Linked DNA regions of Macaca mulatta. The protein of the gene in region 2 interacts with the protein of the main gene of each other region in a pairwise test. Links are inferred from orthologs where the notes say so. Each region holds a gene or a part of one and is shown on either strand. Other genes may lie near its edges.

Region 1 (5,351 bases), on a different chromosome or scaffold from region 2:
CAACTACTGGCATGTTTTTCAATTTTGTTCTAGTCTCTTTAAAAACAAGTGATTTGGAAAATGACTACCTTTCATGTCTAAGTATAGGGTGGGCGTGTGCGATGTAAAATGTACCTGCAGTACTAAAACTGGGGAAAAGGCAAACACAGGATGAGGATAGCACAAAACTTAAGATTTCACCTATAACATTTATAAATATGCCAGCATGTCCTCAACCTGTCCTAAACTGTGTGAAACATGTTTAAAAACATGCACAGAATCTACAATTGACTCTTTTAAAGTCTACCCAAATTCAACTGCTGAAACAACACTTTCGCCAATCAAATTAGTAGAGAATTTTTTTGTAAATACTTAGTATTTTCAAGATGTGGGCAGACTGATACTACCACAATGCTCACGTTGGTGTAAATGAGGATTTCCTTTAGTCGCTAAAGCAATTTGACAATGTGTATCAAGGATTTTAATAGTACTGACATGCTTGTTCAGCAAAGTAGAAATATATTCTAACCAAAAAACTCCCAGATGTATGTACAAGAGTATTCATTATACCACAATTTTTAATAGCACAAAATGATATAGCTTAATAATGTCCACAATAGGGGCAGAAATTACATGGTATAGCTTAGCCCATGAACTCTTTGGCAGTTATTAAAAATCATGTTAACAAAAATGTTTAAATGAGATGGGACTGTTAAGTGAAAGAAGCAAGTTATAAAGCAGTATCTGGCAATGATTCCAAATGTGTATGTGCCACTATGATTCTCAAGCGGCAATAAGGAAATAAGAGAAATTTACAATGAAGAATTGGAATTACATGTAGTGATCAAAATCCATTCCACAGCTTGAAAGGACACAGTGTTAAGACTCACTACCCACGTCCTCATTTTAGAAAGAAGTGTGGGATGAGTACACTGCTGATTCAGATCCTTTTTATGAATGGCAGGGATAGAAAAGTGGGAAATAAAACTAAAAGTCATGTCTGAAAGTGATATTCCGCCCCTTTAAACTTTCAGTTTAATGAAGCTTTTGAGTGACTTTTATACCACATGCAGCAATGCTCTCTGCCTAGCTACCAAATTTGGCAGTGTGCAGAGATGAGAGAAGGTAGGAAAAGGTAAGACTCACAACCTTCCAATATACACAATTTTGGAGGAGGAAATGAAACGTTGCGAATACACACACACACACACACCAATTCAGGTCTGCAGATGCTATTTAAAGCACACAACATTTTCCCACCCCCACTCTAAGCAGAAACGCCTCAGCACACCACCCGTGTGTCCCGCCCAATCCCCCCCTCCGCTTCAACAGCTACTGTGATCTGCACTTCATCACTAGTTTTAAAACTTCCAGCTTATTTCCGATGCACCCTACTACTACCAACAATCAAACGAGGATAGCAAGCAAGCCAAGGCTGTTTTCCAGCTTTCACGAAGTTGCCTGCATTTATTTTTCACATCAGATATACAAATGTCTAATCAAACCCCACAGATAAGAAACAGAATAAAAACTCCTTTGTATATGTATACATCTCATGTTACTCACTCTTTTACCCTAGGAAACAAGGAGTAACCCTAGTGCCTGTGACTCGAAATGACATCTTTCTGCTTAGTGTTCTCCTGACCTGGCCTGTGCAGCCACAGCTCTGCCTGCCTGTCTGCCAGCCTGGGCCCGGGTACTTCCACAGCTGCCCCACAGCAGGGCAGGCTTCTTTCTGCAAACAGTCTAAAATCGCATGAAGCCAAAGCCCACTGAAGTTATGATGAAAACAAGAGAAGCCCAAACACACCTAAATTGCCACCTTACATGTCATCACTCTCAAACTGAAAGGTGTCTACTTGCTTGACAGTATGCGCAACGGTGTGTTTGCAGCTGTCACACCGCAGAATAAACAGTTGGGGGAAGGAGCTGGGTGGGTTTCTGGTGGTCAGTTTCAGGAAATACACCCTTGTTAGTTCTGAACTCAGGTTCCAAATCAATATGTTTTGGTGATTTATTTTTTTTTTCCAGGCTGGAAATGAGCTAACCTAATGATTAACCTTAAGCATACCATCACTTCTGCTAAAAACATTTTCTACACACAGACCTAAATTACTTTCGGTTGGGTTAAACAAAACAGACAAGCGGTAATACAAGGTCTCTGAGAAATAAGATCCTTTTCAATGGTCACCCAGGAGCTTTTCCTCTTAAATCAGTTTGGCGGGGGATGGGGGAGACAGGGAGGAGAGCACCCAAATTAAGATGCCACCCAGAGCACAATGATAGTCTCAAGAAAGTTGCCTAAGATAACTCTTCAGGGTTTCCCTAGTTGAGTAATTCTTGCAGGCGGGTGGGGAGGGATCGCTGGCGTCCAAAATTACGATCTGCAGAGGTCTCCCTATGTTGACTTTTTTTTTTAGGGCGTCCTTTTTAATTACACTGCAAGGACTCTGATTTCCACCTCCCTGTCTGCTGCTGGAGGGAGTTGAGAGCAACGCGCCAGGGCTGCGGCAGCCGCTCCGGCCAACTCCGGCGCTCGGGGGCGGGCAGCCCACTCCCCTCGGGTCCCACCCTCTCCAGCACACGCGCGCACACCCGCGTGGAGACGGCTGTCCTCGCCCGTCTGCCCCGCGCCCCAGCTGGGACTCACCGTTGTCCAACCGCGCGATCTGGGGCAGCCGGTAAGTGCTGACCAGGAGGTCGAGCGGCACGGCCACCGAGCTCCACTTCACATCCTTGAGGCTGCAGCCCAGCGAGGGCGCCGGGTCCATCTCCCCCGCCGCCGCCGGCACCACCCGCGCCTCAGCGGCCGCCGCTGCTGGCGTTCGCGGTCTGGGGCGCGCGGGAGGCGCCGGGCAGCTCCGGCCGCGGGCAGCCGGGGGGCGCGGCGACTGGGGCGGCCCAGAGGGAGGGGACCGGCGCCCGGCTCAGCTGCCGCTGCGGGGCATGGCTGGGGCGCCCCGCGTGCCCTCACGCCCGGAGAAGACTTAGAGCAGCCCCGCGGCTGCGGGCGGCGGCGGCGGCGGCAGCGGCCCGGGTGGCTGCGGCGGCTCCCGCTCCGCCTCCTCCTCTGGCCCTGGGTCTGCAGCTGCGGCGGCCGCCCGCTCGCCTCCTCCTCCTCTTACCCCTCCTTCCCTCCGCCTCGAGCGTGTGAGGAGGAGCCGCGGGTCTGAGAAACGCCATAGCAGCGCTCCCAGCACTGACTAATCAACAAGGTGCGAGCAACGCCTGCGCAGCTCTGGGAGACACCGCCTCCGCCTCCCCGGCGCCGCCTGCTCCGCCCCCCACTCGGCCTCCGCCTCCCGCAGCTCCCGCGGCCGGGCGGGCTCCGCTCGGCGTCAGCTCCCTGGCCGTGGCCGCCAGCGCCCGCGGCTCGGCGCGCTCCGCAAGCTTTAGCTCTCGCTCCCCCGTCCGACCGCTCGGGCGCCCTGCAGTCTCGCCGGGTGCCGCTGCGCGTCCCGACTCCTTCCCCGCCCAGGCCCGTTCCCGGAGCCCGGGAATTGCCGAGAGAGCTCAGGGATCGCTCCCTGAGTCTTGGTGTCGGACACCGTCCGCCTCCACTCCTATCCTGGCAATGCGGTGGCGAAATACAGGGCACAAGAGACCTTTAGTGGCGCTCCGTCTTGCTTCCTGGTGACCCAGACATTGGTCAGGAGAGTGCCACAGCCCAACGCGGCTGGGGACAGCAGGCGTGGAGCACGCCTTGGCATTTCCCGTCAACCCTACTCCTCCACCATCGGAGCTGGAAATGACTCCCACCAGTCTCAGCTTTGGCTGCTAGACAAGATAAAAAGGGCATAGCACTGAAAAGCAGAAAGGTGGTGGGTGATCAGTACCCACATACAGGAAGGTGGCCATTCGGTCTAGGACCTTCACTGAGTGAAGGAACTGCTGGAGGCGGCGGGAGATGGTGAGGCCACCAAACACCGTAGACACAGAGATGGGAAGGGAAAACTAGGTTACTGGGAGGCTGCTGGGTCAGCTGTTCTCATCCACTTTTCCCACTCAGTTCCCTTCTCATCTTAAAGGTTGGGATCATTCTCGTTTTCTAGGTATATGTACCGAGACATTAGGTAGTTTAGCAAGATTTCATAACTCGTAGATGGCCGTGCTGGGATTCAAACCTACAGTTTGCTTTGCATGATCAACCATTCTGTCTCTCCCAATGTTTGGCATGGCCTGCTCACTGTGGACAGAGCTCAGAATATAAAGGTGGCATGTCCTGCCTTGTATGCTAATTCTTTCTTTTCTTTCTTTCTTTCTTTCTTTCTTCCTTTCTTTTTCTTTCTTTCTTTCTTTCTCTTGCTTGCTTGACATTTTGTTAAAATAGCAGAGGTGAGTGGTTGCTAAGGATGCGTATCAGCTCTGTTTTCAACACGTATTCAGTGTTTAGTGCTTGATAAGGTACAGCAAGTACCCACTTCGCCAGCCCAAGGGGACTTGAAAACATCCCGCTGCCTTTTCCTGGCTTGGTTTAAAAGGTCTGTGCTAATAAACCACTCCATTAACATTTGAAGAAAAACAGATTCTTCTACACCCACCTTCCTGATCCTCTCCCTTTGAAGCATTAGCTATAATTTTCACAAAATTCATCTGAAAGTTTTGCCCTTTGAGTCATTCACATTGATTTTTTGAAAAAATTGTGGAAAAAAGTGGGGAGTAGTTTACTATAGAGTGTATGGAGAATCAGAAGTCCATAAAGTTCTAAGAATGGCTCACATAGAGTGTTTCGGCCGGGCGCGGTGGCTCACACCTGTAATCCCAGCACTTTGGGAGGCCCAGGCAGGCGGATCACCTGAGGTCAGGAGTTTGAGAGCAGCTTGGCCAACGTGGTGAAACCCTGTCTCCCGTCTCCACTAAAAATGCAAACATTAGCCAGGCGTGGTGGCGGGTGCCTGTAATCCCAGCTATTCGGGAGGCTGAGGCAGGAGAATCGCTTGAACCTAGAAGGCGGAGGTTGCAGTGAGCGCAGATCTTGCCATTGCACTCTAGCCTGGGCGACAAGAACGAAACTCTGTCTCAAAAAAAAAAAAGTTTCAAAACTTTAAAGATTTAAGTGGCAACTATTTTTTTTTTTCTGAATGATTAATCATTTCTGGAAATAAAGCTCAGACTCCAAAAATGGCATAGGAAACATCTAAGACTGTGCAGGGTCAAGGGTCTTTCAACCTCTAAGTAGATCCTAAACCCTTACATGGTAGGCTGATTTTTAAAAAAATTACTTTGTTACTTTTATATTCTCTTGAAAAGCTTCAGAGAATAAGAGAAGTAGTTTCCTCTCACAAAAGGACTGGTGACTTATGACCTAAAGACAAGATAAAAAGTAAAAAGATTAATGTAGTCAACTTTTTAAAAATCAATAAAGGACTTAC
Region 2 (5,543 bases):
GGCAACAACAAATTCAGAAACTGGGACCTGGTACAAGAGAACTGGCTTAATCTTTAAAAACATCCAATGTTGAAGAAAGAAGCATGAGACCCAACTGCAAAATATGTTCTTATTTTTAAAAATTAGATTTAAAAAAAAAATGGTATAGAAGACATTTGGGGGGACAAATGGGGAAGGTTAAATCTGCACTAGCTATCAGGTGATATTAACGACTTACTGTTTATCCTCTTAGGCCTAATGATGGTATTGTGGTTAGATAGAGGAATGCCTTTATTCTTAGATGAGTACTGAATTATTTCAGAGTGAAGTATTATTTTATCTGCAACTTACAAGTAATTCAGAGAGAAATAGGTATAGATGGAACAAATATGGCAAAAAGTTAGCAATCGTTGAACGTAGATAGTGAGTACTAATATTTCAACTTTTCTTTATGTTTTATGTTCAGCTATTTTCTCACTATCTTTTCTTTTTTATTTTTATTTTTGAGACAGGGTCTTACTTTGTTGACCAGGCTGGAGTGCAGTGGCACGATCTCAGTTCACGGAAACGTCTGCCTCCCAGGTGCAAGCAATTCTCGTGCCTCAGTCTCTCAAGTAGCTGGGATTATAGGCACCTGCCATCATGCCCGGCTAATTTTTGTATTTTGGTAGAGACAGGGTTTCAGTGTATTGGCCAGGCTTGTCTCCAATTCCTGACCTCAGACGATCTGCCTGCCTTGGCCTCCCAAGGGCTGGGATTACAGGTGTGAGCCACTGTGCCCAGCCGTTCTTCACTGTCTTCTTAAGGAACGTCTTAACATTTTCTTTGGAGAGCATGTAAGACTTTTATCATCATGTACTTTGTGATAGTTTAATTCTCTAAAAGTGTTGTTTATAAATGCATATTTAAAAAGAAAATCTTTAAAAATTATTTACTGAATTCCTACTGACTCAAGTTTATTGAAACTTAACGTTAACACTGTTGAAGAGGACTTGGTGCCTAGCGCCAGGCCTGGCATATAGTAATTGATCGATAAATGTTTGTAAAATGCTTATCTGTTAAACAGGGCCATGCTTTCTTAAGAATTTTTAAGTGGAAAAGAAAGGGCAGGCCAGGTGCGGTGGTTCACACCTGTAATCCCAACACTTTGGGAGGCTGAGGCAGGCAAATTGCTTGAGTTCAGGAGTTCAAGACCAGCCGGCGCAACATGGCAAAACTCTGTCTCTACTAAAAATACAATATTAGCCAGGTGTGGTGGTGTGCACCTGTAGTCCCAGCTACTTGAGAGGCTGAGGTGGGAGGATCACTAAGCCCAAGGTAGTTGAGTCTGCAGTGAGCTATGATTGCACCACTGCACTCTAGCCTGAGTGACAGAGTGAGACCCTGTCTCAAAAAAAAAAAAAAAAAAAAAAAAGACTCATGAGACTGTGTTATCATCATTATTATTATTTATTTTTGGAGATCCGCCCACCTCGGCCTCCCAAAGTGCTAGGATTATAAGCATGAGCCACCGCACCCAGCCAAGGCTGTGCTATTTCTTTACAGACCAAGGTACGCTGGGCAAATACCTCAAAAGGACAAAATGGGGACCTATCGACCCTATTGTTTGATTCAAACAACTTATAAAGATTCTTGAACAAGTTTTGAGTTTGTTTTATAGGGGCACAAAAATGAATAATCTGCCCCCAGGATTATCCAGCAGCAACTGTTACTTATTTAAGAAATCCTGATGGAATCACACTTACTGACACATTTTTCGAACGACTGCAGACTTTTCTTGATCCAGGAAAAAAGGGCAAGTTCTACTCAAGTTTAGGCATGAACCCTGTCAGTCATCAACACCAGTGGGTGTTATTATCTGGGAATCAATAAATATGTTGGAACTAGGATCATTTTCAGCTCTTCTAGAAAGCAATAGTTCTAAAAGAGATGGCTTCAGGAAATAAGTAAGAGACATTTTGTATAAGAAGTTGGAAGAAAATGATCAAGAGTCAAAGAAATAACTAATGATGACATTGTCTTGCATTTTTATAGTGCATTTTTCCTAAGGTATTTCATATCTATGTTAACTCATTTATTCTTACAATATCCCTACGAGGTAGACAGAACAATTGAAAGGGATTTTCACCAGGCCTAAGACGTCGGAGATATTCAAAAGGATATTGTATTAGCAACAGAAATATTTCTTCATATTGAATAGATTGATCATCTCTTTCTCCTCTGCTTCAGTAAAGTCATTTTTTAAAAAGATAAAATCTATTACAATTTGGGGAGAATAAGATTTCAGTTTACCACATGGGAGACACTCCAAGTTTAATCTAAAAAAGCAGTTTTATTCAATAATATAGGGCCACCTCTCTTTTACAAAAAAACAAAAAAGGGTATGAGTCAGATATTTTTCAAATTTGAAAAGTAAATATACTTAGGTGGTCCTCTATTTACACAGTGTTCCTTATTTAATAGCAGATGGTTTTGTAAAGAGGGTCACTATAAAATTATTTTATAAAGTTTTATATACAATACTGGATTGTTAAAGGAGAGTAACTTCTGCTAAATGCTCTTTCTGAAACCAAAAATAAGAAACAAAAAGGACCCACTAAAGAACTAAACCGTTAATGACAAACGTTGCTGCACAGAACAAAAGATTCTTCGACCTGAAGTTTCCCATCCTCGGATAACGTAACGAGAGCACACGAAATTTTTCCTATTGGATGTTTAGATCTAAAACATTTCCCTCTCCTAGTTTATCTAGGGATGTATATGTTCAATAGTGTGCAAATTATGTTGCATATACCTTATTAAGAAGGCCTAATTCCAGGTAGGTAAATACGGTAATTTTTTTTGACAGTATACCTGTCAGCGCAATACGATACATTTTAAATTAGTGAAACCGTTGGTTGGTATGTTCAATCCTCATGTTCAGGAAGAGTTAGGACAAAGAACACAAAGCAGCTAACTTCAGACTGGATGCCTAAACCAGAGACAGTCACAGGGATGGAGCCTAACGGCTAGTACAAAGAGAGACAATACCCTTCCAAAATACACTTCAACACAAAGTCTTCTTTTTTGTAAAGGAATGAAAACTGGTGTTCTTTGTATAGGTAAGAAAAATGCAAACAGAACTAGAAATTCAAGCAAAGGGAGAAATCCTGATCTCAGAGTGCTGGTGTTCATTCATCACTGCTCAGCCCTCTACCACCCCCTCCAACCCCTTCCAATTTGGATTAAATCCTGACCATGGTGAAGTAGAATTTTTACCTCTGTGATCCCAAGGTCGAAAATCTTTCCCCGAGATGCTTCTGAAGCCAGTTTGTGGAGATTTTTGTGTTATGGACTGGGTAAGGAACAAGCGTTCTCCCAGTTCACTTGATAGAAGTCAAATCCCATCACCACAAACATTGTCACGGCAAAAGGTTTAGAGACATTAGCTGATGGGACTTAAAAGCAGTATTCAGAGAACTAATGAGATTCATTTTAATTAACTCATACAAAATATATGTACAGATATTGTATAATGACATACCTTTTGGAAGAGAAGTGGTTTGTTGAATTTATGTCTTGGCTTTGATGCCGAGTTATTAGAATCCTTTCTGGCAAGAAGGAAGACAAATTCAAGCATCAGAATTACTGCATTTCAGAGTACGGATCCACTTTGTGCTGTCTTCCATGTACCACTCTGAAAGAGGGTGCAAGTTTACAGATCCATTAACTGTGCCTCCTCCTCCCCACCTCTTACTCCCTCCTCCAAACTAACCCTAGTCAGCCCTGCAGCCTGCAGGCAAACCACACAGGAACTAGCACATACGGGGCTTCAGAGAGTTGGGCGTGAGCCTTAGATTATGTGGTTTTGTTTTCTTGCTGCCAGTGTTGAACTAAAATGCAGGAGGTTCACTGAAATACTTTTGCTTCTTTATGCTAGGTTTCAGTTTTAACAATATCCCTCCTGAACACTTATGTTCACATAAGAAAATTTCTAGTCCTAGATATGGTCCATCAGCAAGTCGATCTTAAGGAAAACTCTTATTCTCTTAGTACAGTCATGCAGCCCAAGGAACATTAGGGCTTCTTGGGGGAACTTATTTAAGAGCACCCTTGATCACTCACAATGTTAAAATCCCAGGGAAGATGCTTTGTTCATGCGCTCAGTCTGTAATATTACTCTTGACAAAAAAAGAAGAAACATTCTGAGCTGGGATGACTTCTCACCCCAGGTTTGCCACAGTTCAGCATGAGTTGGAACCAGTTCCTTCGATTTCTGGGACTTCAATTTGTGTTGAGTCTTGGACTGAAGGCTTTTCGGGATTTAAGACTTTCCATTGACCTTATATTTTGTTACCTTCAACTTCCTTAGTTCTTACCTTTAAATGTACCACTCACCCTTCCCCCTATATCAAATGCAACTTGTGAAGGCCTCTTCCTTTCTCTTTGCTCTTGCTAGAAAATGGATTGCCAACGTTGCATCTTTTACAGAAAATTAGAGACATTGCTACTTGCTAAGTGGTGCCATTCAGAGTTTGGGAACTGGATCCAAGATGAGGAGGGAAATGTTGGCTCACCAGAATGTTCCTAGCATTAATCCCTGGAATACCAAGAGGGCAGTGTCAAGGAGAGACTCAGTTTGGGTTCTAAAATTTAAACTTTTTCTGCAATGTGAAATGGCATCCTTTTCCATCTCTTGACTTCTTTATATCTAAACCTTGCTTAAAATTTACTTTCTTAAAACCTTTTCCTTGGTTATAATTGCTCAATATTTTTATTGAAATAGAAAAGAATCAGCAGAGTGTCATGGTGATAGAAAATGCTCAGTAAACATTTGTCGAATGAGTTAAAGGAGGTAATTTTCTGCCCATAACTCCTTTTTTTTTTTTCTTTTGAGATGGAGTTTCACTCTTCGTGCCCAGGCTGGAATGCAATGGCACGATCTTGGCTCACTGCAACCTCTGCCTCCCGGGTACAAGTGATTCTCCTGCCTCAGCCACCCGAGTAGCTGGGATTACAGGTACCTGCCACCATGCCTGGCTAATTATTTTTAGTAGAGACAGGGTTTCACCATGTCAGCCAGGCTGGTCTTGAACTCGTGACTTCAGATGATCCGCCTGCCTCGACCTCCCAAAGTGCTGGGATTACAGGCGTGAGCCACCGCACCCGGCCGTGTAACTCTTTAATAACAGGCTTTCTTCTTATTGATGCAAGTTTGTCAAATTTTCTTAAATCCTGGTTACATCTGAAAAGGATTTCTGCTATTTCCACATTATAAAGATAAAATATAAAAAATAACAACATCTTGCTACTTTAAAAATAATAACATCTCAACCTTGGCCTCAGAATTCTTCAGCCTCCTAAGGACCTTCTTGGATCATTACATTGAACAGCTCTATTGCCAAGTTTTTAAATGCTGAAATCCTCTGGCTACAGTCCTTAGTCTTCGATAGCTCCCAAGTCAATGGTTTTGAAATGGTTAAAGGAGTCCCTAAAATTCTATGGTTGGGGAGTGGGAGCGAAGGGAAAATGCTGAATGGTATTTCACGGAAACTATTATGGTGTTTTCAGCTTGTACCCCAATG
Region 3 (5,638 bases), on a different chromosome or scaffold from region 2:
AATAAACTATTTTCCCTTAATGACGATTGGACTCATTTTTCCATGTCAGTTCAATGGCCACCAGAAATTACAACAAAACACATTTTTCCTCTCTTGTCATTATGTGTGTGTGTGTATATATATATATATATGTTGTATGTGTGTGTTCTGTTTACCGGAGTCCACTGCCAAGGTTTTTAAATGTGTTTAAGAGCAAGTTGCTGATGCGATGGGTGGGCAGAGAAAGGGTCAATGTAGTGGTTTTGTGTAATGCCGGGCTCATTAATGGCACTTACCAAATACCCTATTTATTTTAATTGTGGCTTTCAGGGTTAGAAAGAAAAAAACCAAAAAAGAGGGTAAGAGTTTTTCAAGAACAAAATATAAACCAAAAATAGGAAATTAAGGCAAAATTACCCGGATCATTCAGGCCACCTTAGTTTCTTTTCCTGAATTTCTGACATTATAAACCCCCTCTCTTCACAGTCTTATCTGTTTTGTACACGACATCTCTTGGACAACTTAGGTTCTGAAATCTTCCTACCAGTCCCCTTATTTTTTACATAACAAGTGTTTTGCTAAAAATATCCATACTTTCTAGAGCCACATGCCATTCCTACCTGAAAAAGAACACTGTCAGGTAACAGGACAAGTAAGAGGCAGCAACCATACTGCAATGGTCCGCGATTATACAGCAATTATTACACACAACCTCGCAAGGACAGAGGAGCGTCCAGGAACAGGGCAGGCAATCCCTCGGTCCTGGCAGCTGTTAAGATGGGTCAAGCGGAAAAATGTGCCTTTTCTATACTTAATTTTAAGTGGGTATGATTTTTAGGACATTGAACCTCTTTTGCTACCCACCAAAAGGAAAAAAAAAAAGTTTTCTCAACTGGGTAAATAAAGATGGTTTGATATAATATTCTAACCCTGAGAAGCAAACAGATTGCACATTTAGCTGAAATAGGAAGATTTCTGAAGCGATAATTATTTTGATATGGTAAGTGAATTAGTTAACTATAGTAATTCCTAAAAAAGCAAATTTAAAAAAGCATTATTTTTAAAATTTTTTAAGTGGTAGGGAAAATAAATAGCAAAGCAGCCAGTAAAGTTCAAGAAAAAAAGTCAGAACATACCATTCAACTCTCCATTGCTTTGAAAAAAGAAACGCCAGTAGCATTCCTACACTTGTAATTAGAAAACATGCATGTAAACAACTCTTCAAATAGTCTTTTATAATAAAATAGAAAATGTCCTCGGGTGAGAAAGCAATTTTTGACTGACTGCAACTCATCTAGGTTTTCACTACCATACAACTGGGTAAGAGAGTAAAATCTCCGATTTTGCACTGTTTGGCATAGTCTCGCTCCTCTACCTTCTCCACCTAAATAGTTCCCATTTCCCAAGTGGACAATGTGCAGAGAACTTGTATGCATTAATGAATTCCTCTGCAATTTTGGTTTCACTATCAGAATTGAAGTTTGCACACAACAGTGTCTCAACAATGATCTCAACGTCCTAACGCTTTAGAATCCGTTTACCTTCTGTGTTCACCTAGATCAGGATGCAATACCTGTGTGAATCTTTTCGGGTCATATTGAGCCATGCACTTTCCTGCATCTGCACACACTCTCAAGTTCCTCTAGAATGTTAAGAACTCAACTGTGTGTGATATTAAAAAGTACGCCAGAAGTAATTTCTTGGACTCCAGATAATGTACCTGCAGAAACAGTCATTTGGTAGGATACCACAAATACCCTACTACTGAATTCTGAAACGTTTGTTCCTGAGTCCGACTCCCCTTCTGACTACATCTACTCAATTTTGTTTCCACCGAAGGAACGCTCCGCAGTCACAAAACTTTCATCGTGAAGACGCACCACCCAAAATGCGTGCTCAGAAGTCAAAGTCCTATAAAAGTATCCTCGATGAGCATTTGGTGAATTGCTGCGTTTTTAACCCTCTTATTCTGCTCCCCTCATCTGCACGGCCCTAAATTCGCAAGCGTTCACCGCCCAGGTTCGGGGTCTTTGACTCAGCAGAGAAGAATGTGGCTGATGAGTTATCTATTAATCCAAAAACCCTCGGCTAGAAAGATATTTCACCAAGAACTTTTAACACGGAAAGGGAGGGGGCAGGGAACAGAGGTATCTTTTAATGAAAACTTTTCCCCAAGTTTCTTCCTTAAACTGCCCCCCCCCGCTACCCCGAATCCACACACAATTTCCAGCCCCAGCCCTAAGTCCTGACCCTCCGAGTCCCGATCATCTGAGGTCACCCAGGAGTCAGCTCTCGGTTCCACTTTTTAAATCCCGGGCAAACAAAGCTGAGCATTATACTTACAAAAGTCTCCGAAAAGTCCTTAGAGTTACGCAATTTGGGGCCCGCAGACGCGCGTGGACACAAAAACACACTTTCCCGAGATCCACCCTCCCCGGGCCACACTGCGGGGCTGCGTCCCGGGCACGGGCCATGCCTAAACCTTCCACCGCCGCGCCCCGGGCCCGCGCCCGCGCCCCGCCGGCCGCCCGCACTGGGTCCCGGATCGCCCCCGCCACTGCACCGAGCCGCCCAGTACCTCCTCCTCCTGAAGGTTGGCCTCGCTCGGGGTGTTCTCCTTCTCGGCTTTGCCGCCGTTGTTCATCTTCCCGGTCCTTCCTCGCCGGGCCGGGCAGGGCTGGGGCGCGGGGCTGGGCGAGGGCGCGCTCGCCCACTGTAGCCTTCCCCGGGCGCCGGGGCTCCCTCGGGCGGGCGCCGCGGGCTGCGGGGCTGGAGCTGGAGCCGGGGCAGTGGCTGTCGGGCTGGGGCTCCCGCGGCGAGACTGCGACGGCAGCGGCGGGCGACTCAGGAAGTACGAGGGAGAGACGGGGCAGGGCGCGGGCCGAGAGCTGGGCACCGAGACAATCGGGCCCCGGGAGGGCGACCTGGATAGGGAGGGCGGGAGCCAGGGGAGGAAGGAAGAAGGAAGGAAGGAAGCAAAGGATGGGGCGAGAACGCGCGTCCCAGGAGTAAGCGCAGAGAGTTGGGGCTGGGGGCTGCAGCCGCTGGAAGGAGGGGACGGGGGTGCCTAGAGAGGAGGAGGAGGAAGAGGAGGAGGAGGAAGAGGAGGAGGAGGAAGAGGAGGAGGAGCGGGGCGGAGAGGCGCGGGCGGCGGCTGGGACGCTGGGACCCGAGAGCCGCTGAGTGCGCGCTCCAGGCAGGCTCTGGGAAGTCCGGGATGGAAGCAGCTCCCTTTCTCTCGTCTTCCTCCCTCCCCTCTCCCCTCCCTCCTCTCCGCGCCTCTCCTCCTCCCTCCGCCCTCCCTGGACGTGGGCTGCCGGCTGCAGCCCGGAGGGACGGGGCGCGGGACGGAGCCCCCCGCGGGAGGAGGGGCCGGCGGCCGGATGGCGCGCGCCGGGGAGGGGCCGCGGGCGGCGGGCGGAAGCGGCGACCCCAGCCCCAGACTCGGCGGCTGGTCGGAGGGCGAGGGCCCTGGAGGCCGAGGGCAGGGGAGGTCGGGTACTGCAGTTCCCTCGGCCCCCGGGGGCCCCGGCGTCTGCGCGCCCCGGGACTTCGGGGACCCTGCCCCGCCGGGGCCAGGACCGGGAGCTGGGATGTGTGCGACTTTTGTTTGCCGGCTTTTACCAAGGGATTTGCACCCCTGGCCCTAAGCCCACCCTTCCCGAGCCAGACCCGGTTCTTCCCCTGCTGCTTGAATGACAGGATGAGAACTCGAGGGATACTGGGGACAGCCCCCTCCGGGCCGGCTTTTTCAGGACAGGGCTTCAAACCCATCTCCAGCGCGGGTCCTGCGACGCGCCCGGAGCCTTCCCCGCTTCGCTGCCTGGGCGTCCCGCGGCCCCCGACTCCTCTCCCAACTCTCACCCGACTGTTCTGGGATTGTTTACTTGGCCTCTCCCTCACCCTTCAGAAAGCTCCTTCCTGGAAGAAAAAACCACAAACTTACCCTATTTATCTTTTTAATCCCACGGCTATTTAAACGAGCTACCGGGTGTATAGTAGGCACTCAATAAATATTTGTTGGCAAAGTGAATATTCCTCATTGCAGGCAGAGCTCGGGGTCCACACGGAGGAATTTCAGAGGCTGGAAGCACGCTTGAAGAAGAAAGGGGGCCTGGGCTTTGCACCAACTTCAGGATTGCGTACTTGTTTCCTCATCCGTTAAATGGGAGCAGCTGAATGTGTCTCCTAGCGTTTTCGAGATTGTAGGTTGATAGAACTATGTACAGCACCCAGTATTCATTCTTGCTTCGTTTAGGTTTACAGTACATGGAAGCTAACATTATTAAGGAAACTTCCATTTTTCCCGGGCCTTAGAAAGCTTTTCCAATACTCGATCGTTAAAGCTTCTGGTTTTTTTTTTTTTTAGAAAAATGAGGGTCTCACTTTGTTGCCCAGGCTGATCTCGAACTCTTGGCCTCAAGTGATCCTCCGGCTTTTGGCCTCCCAAACTGATGGAATTACCGTCTGGAACCACTGTGTTAAACTCTTAGATTTGACTGCTACAAATGTATAAATGTGGAACTCCATGTATCAGTGGGTTCTGCCCCACTTCTTACTCCCAGGAATTCTCCGTCCCAGCCTGCTGCTCCTGTCCTGCACCAGTAAGTTTCTAACTACAGTATTTGCTTAACTGTTTCTCCCCACCCCCCAGCAGACATTCTTTATACTGATTTAAGTGCTGCTGGGGATGGGGGGGGGCGGCTGTGGGCGTTGCAGATAAGGACCCTCCCTTTAGGGAGTTTAAAGTAATACGGTGGCTCACGCTTGGAATCTCAGCACTTAGGGAGATAGAGGAAAGAGGATTGCTTGAGCTCAGAAGTTCAAGACCTGTCTGGGCAACATAGTGAGACCCTGTTCTCCACAAAGAGGGGAAAAAAAGAAAAGACAAAAAAATAAAGTGGTATGGAGCCAAGATACTCTCAGAATCCTCTTTCCGATTATAGAAAGCGAGGAAAATATTTGCTTTAAGGGCATTATGAGAAAAACAGTAGTGATACCTGGATTTACATACTGGGTTTATCTTGGGGGTTTGGAGATTTTGAAACAGGAAGATTTCCATAGGGAAAAGATGTTTTTTAATTGCTGTCATAATGTGATTTCTCTCTAAGGGGAACAAACATGTATCCTGGATGAAAATAAACCAAGTCTATTGAAATTGCAACCCAAGACATTCAGAAGAGACAAGGCTACAGTGAATCTGGAAAGTTTGCACGTGTTTGGATGTATTGATTGCCTTAACTGGCAGCCTTTTGCACTGCCAGCTTCTCCCTCAATTACATGAGGAACCACGAGGGGGCAATGTCTTCCCGAGCAATAATAGGTGAGTGGTGGTCTTAGGACCCCGTGGTGGCCCATGATGCTAGCACTGTGTCTTTGGCCATTCTTGCCTGTTATGGAACGTAGTCCACAGAAGGGCATGGTCTTCTTGGAGCCTGGCATGGGCCCAACAAAAATGACAATGTAGTCAATAGTTCCACTCAGACTTCACTTGGGAGCAGGTGGACTACGTTGTGTGATATCAGGATGCCTGGAGAACCTCTCCTATCCCCACCCAGGGAAGCATGGCTTAATTCCAAATAAAGAATCTGGTTCCTTTGTCTTTAAGCCAAGCCAGGACTTTGTCCATTGTTAAAAGTCAAAAATCTCTGGGATAAGA

What was found.
Region 1: the proteins of GRAP2 (region 2) and GAREM1 interact in binary tests that used the Homo sapiens proteins (3 or more experiments, as listed by UniProt). The link is inferred for Macaca mulatta from reciprocal best matches to the Homo sapiens genes GRAP2 and GAREM1.
Region 3: the proteins of GRAP2 (region 2) and RBPMS interact in a two-hybrid assay, tested with the Homo sapiens proteins (2 studies listed by BioGRID and IntAct). The two-hybrid records come from large-scale screens. The link is inferred for Macaca mulatta from reciprocal best matches to the Homo sapiens genes GRAP2 and RBPMS.

Annotation. Positions count from the first base shown.
Region 1 is NC_133423.1:60,048,117-60,053,467, reverse strand, and holds the start of GAREM1 (GRB2-associated and regulator of MAPK protein 1), read right to left. Parts: upstream 3,185-5,351; 5' UTR 2,751-3,184; coding exon 2,630-2,750; intron 1-2,629.
Region 2 is NC_133415.1:11,632,925-11,638,467, forward strand, and holds the start of GRAP2 (GRB2-related adapter protein 2), read right to left. Parts: upstream 3,750-5,543; 5' UTR 3,503-3,749; intron 1-3,502. UniProt on the Homo sapiens protein: Interacts with SLP-76 to regulate NF-AT activation. Binds to tyrosine-phosphorylated shc.
Region 3 is NC_133413.1:32,158,061-32,163,698, reverse strand, and holds the start of RBPMS (RNA-binding protein with multiple splicing), read right to left. Parts: upstream 3,185-5,638; 5' UTR 2,624-3,184; coding exon 2,558-2,623; intron 1-2,557.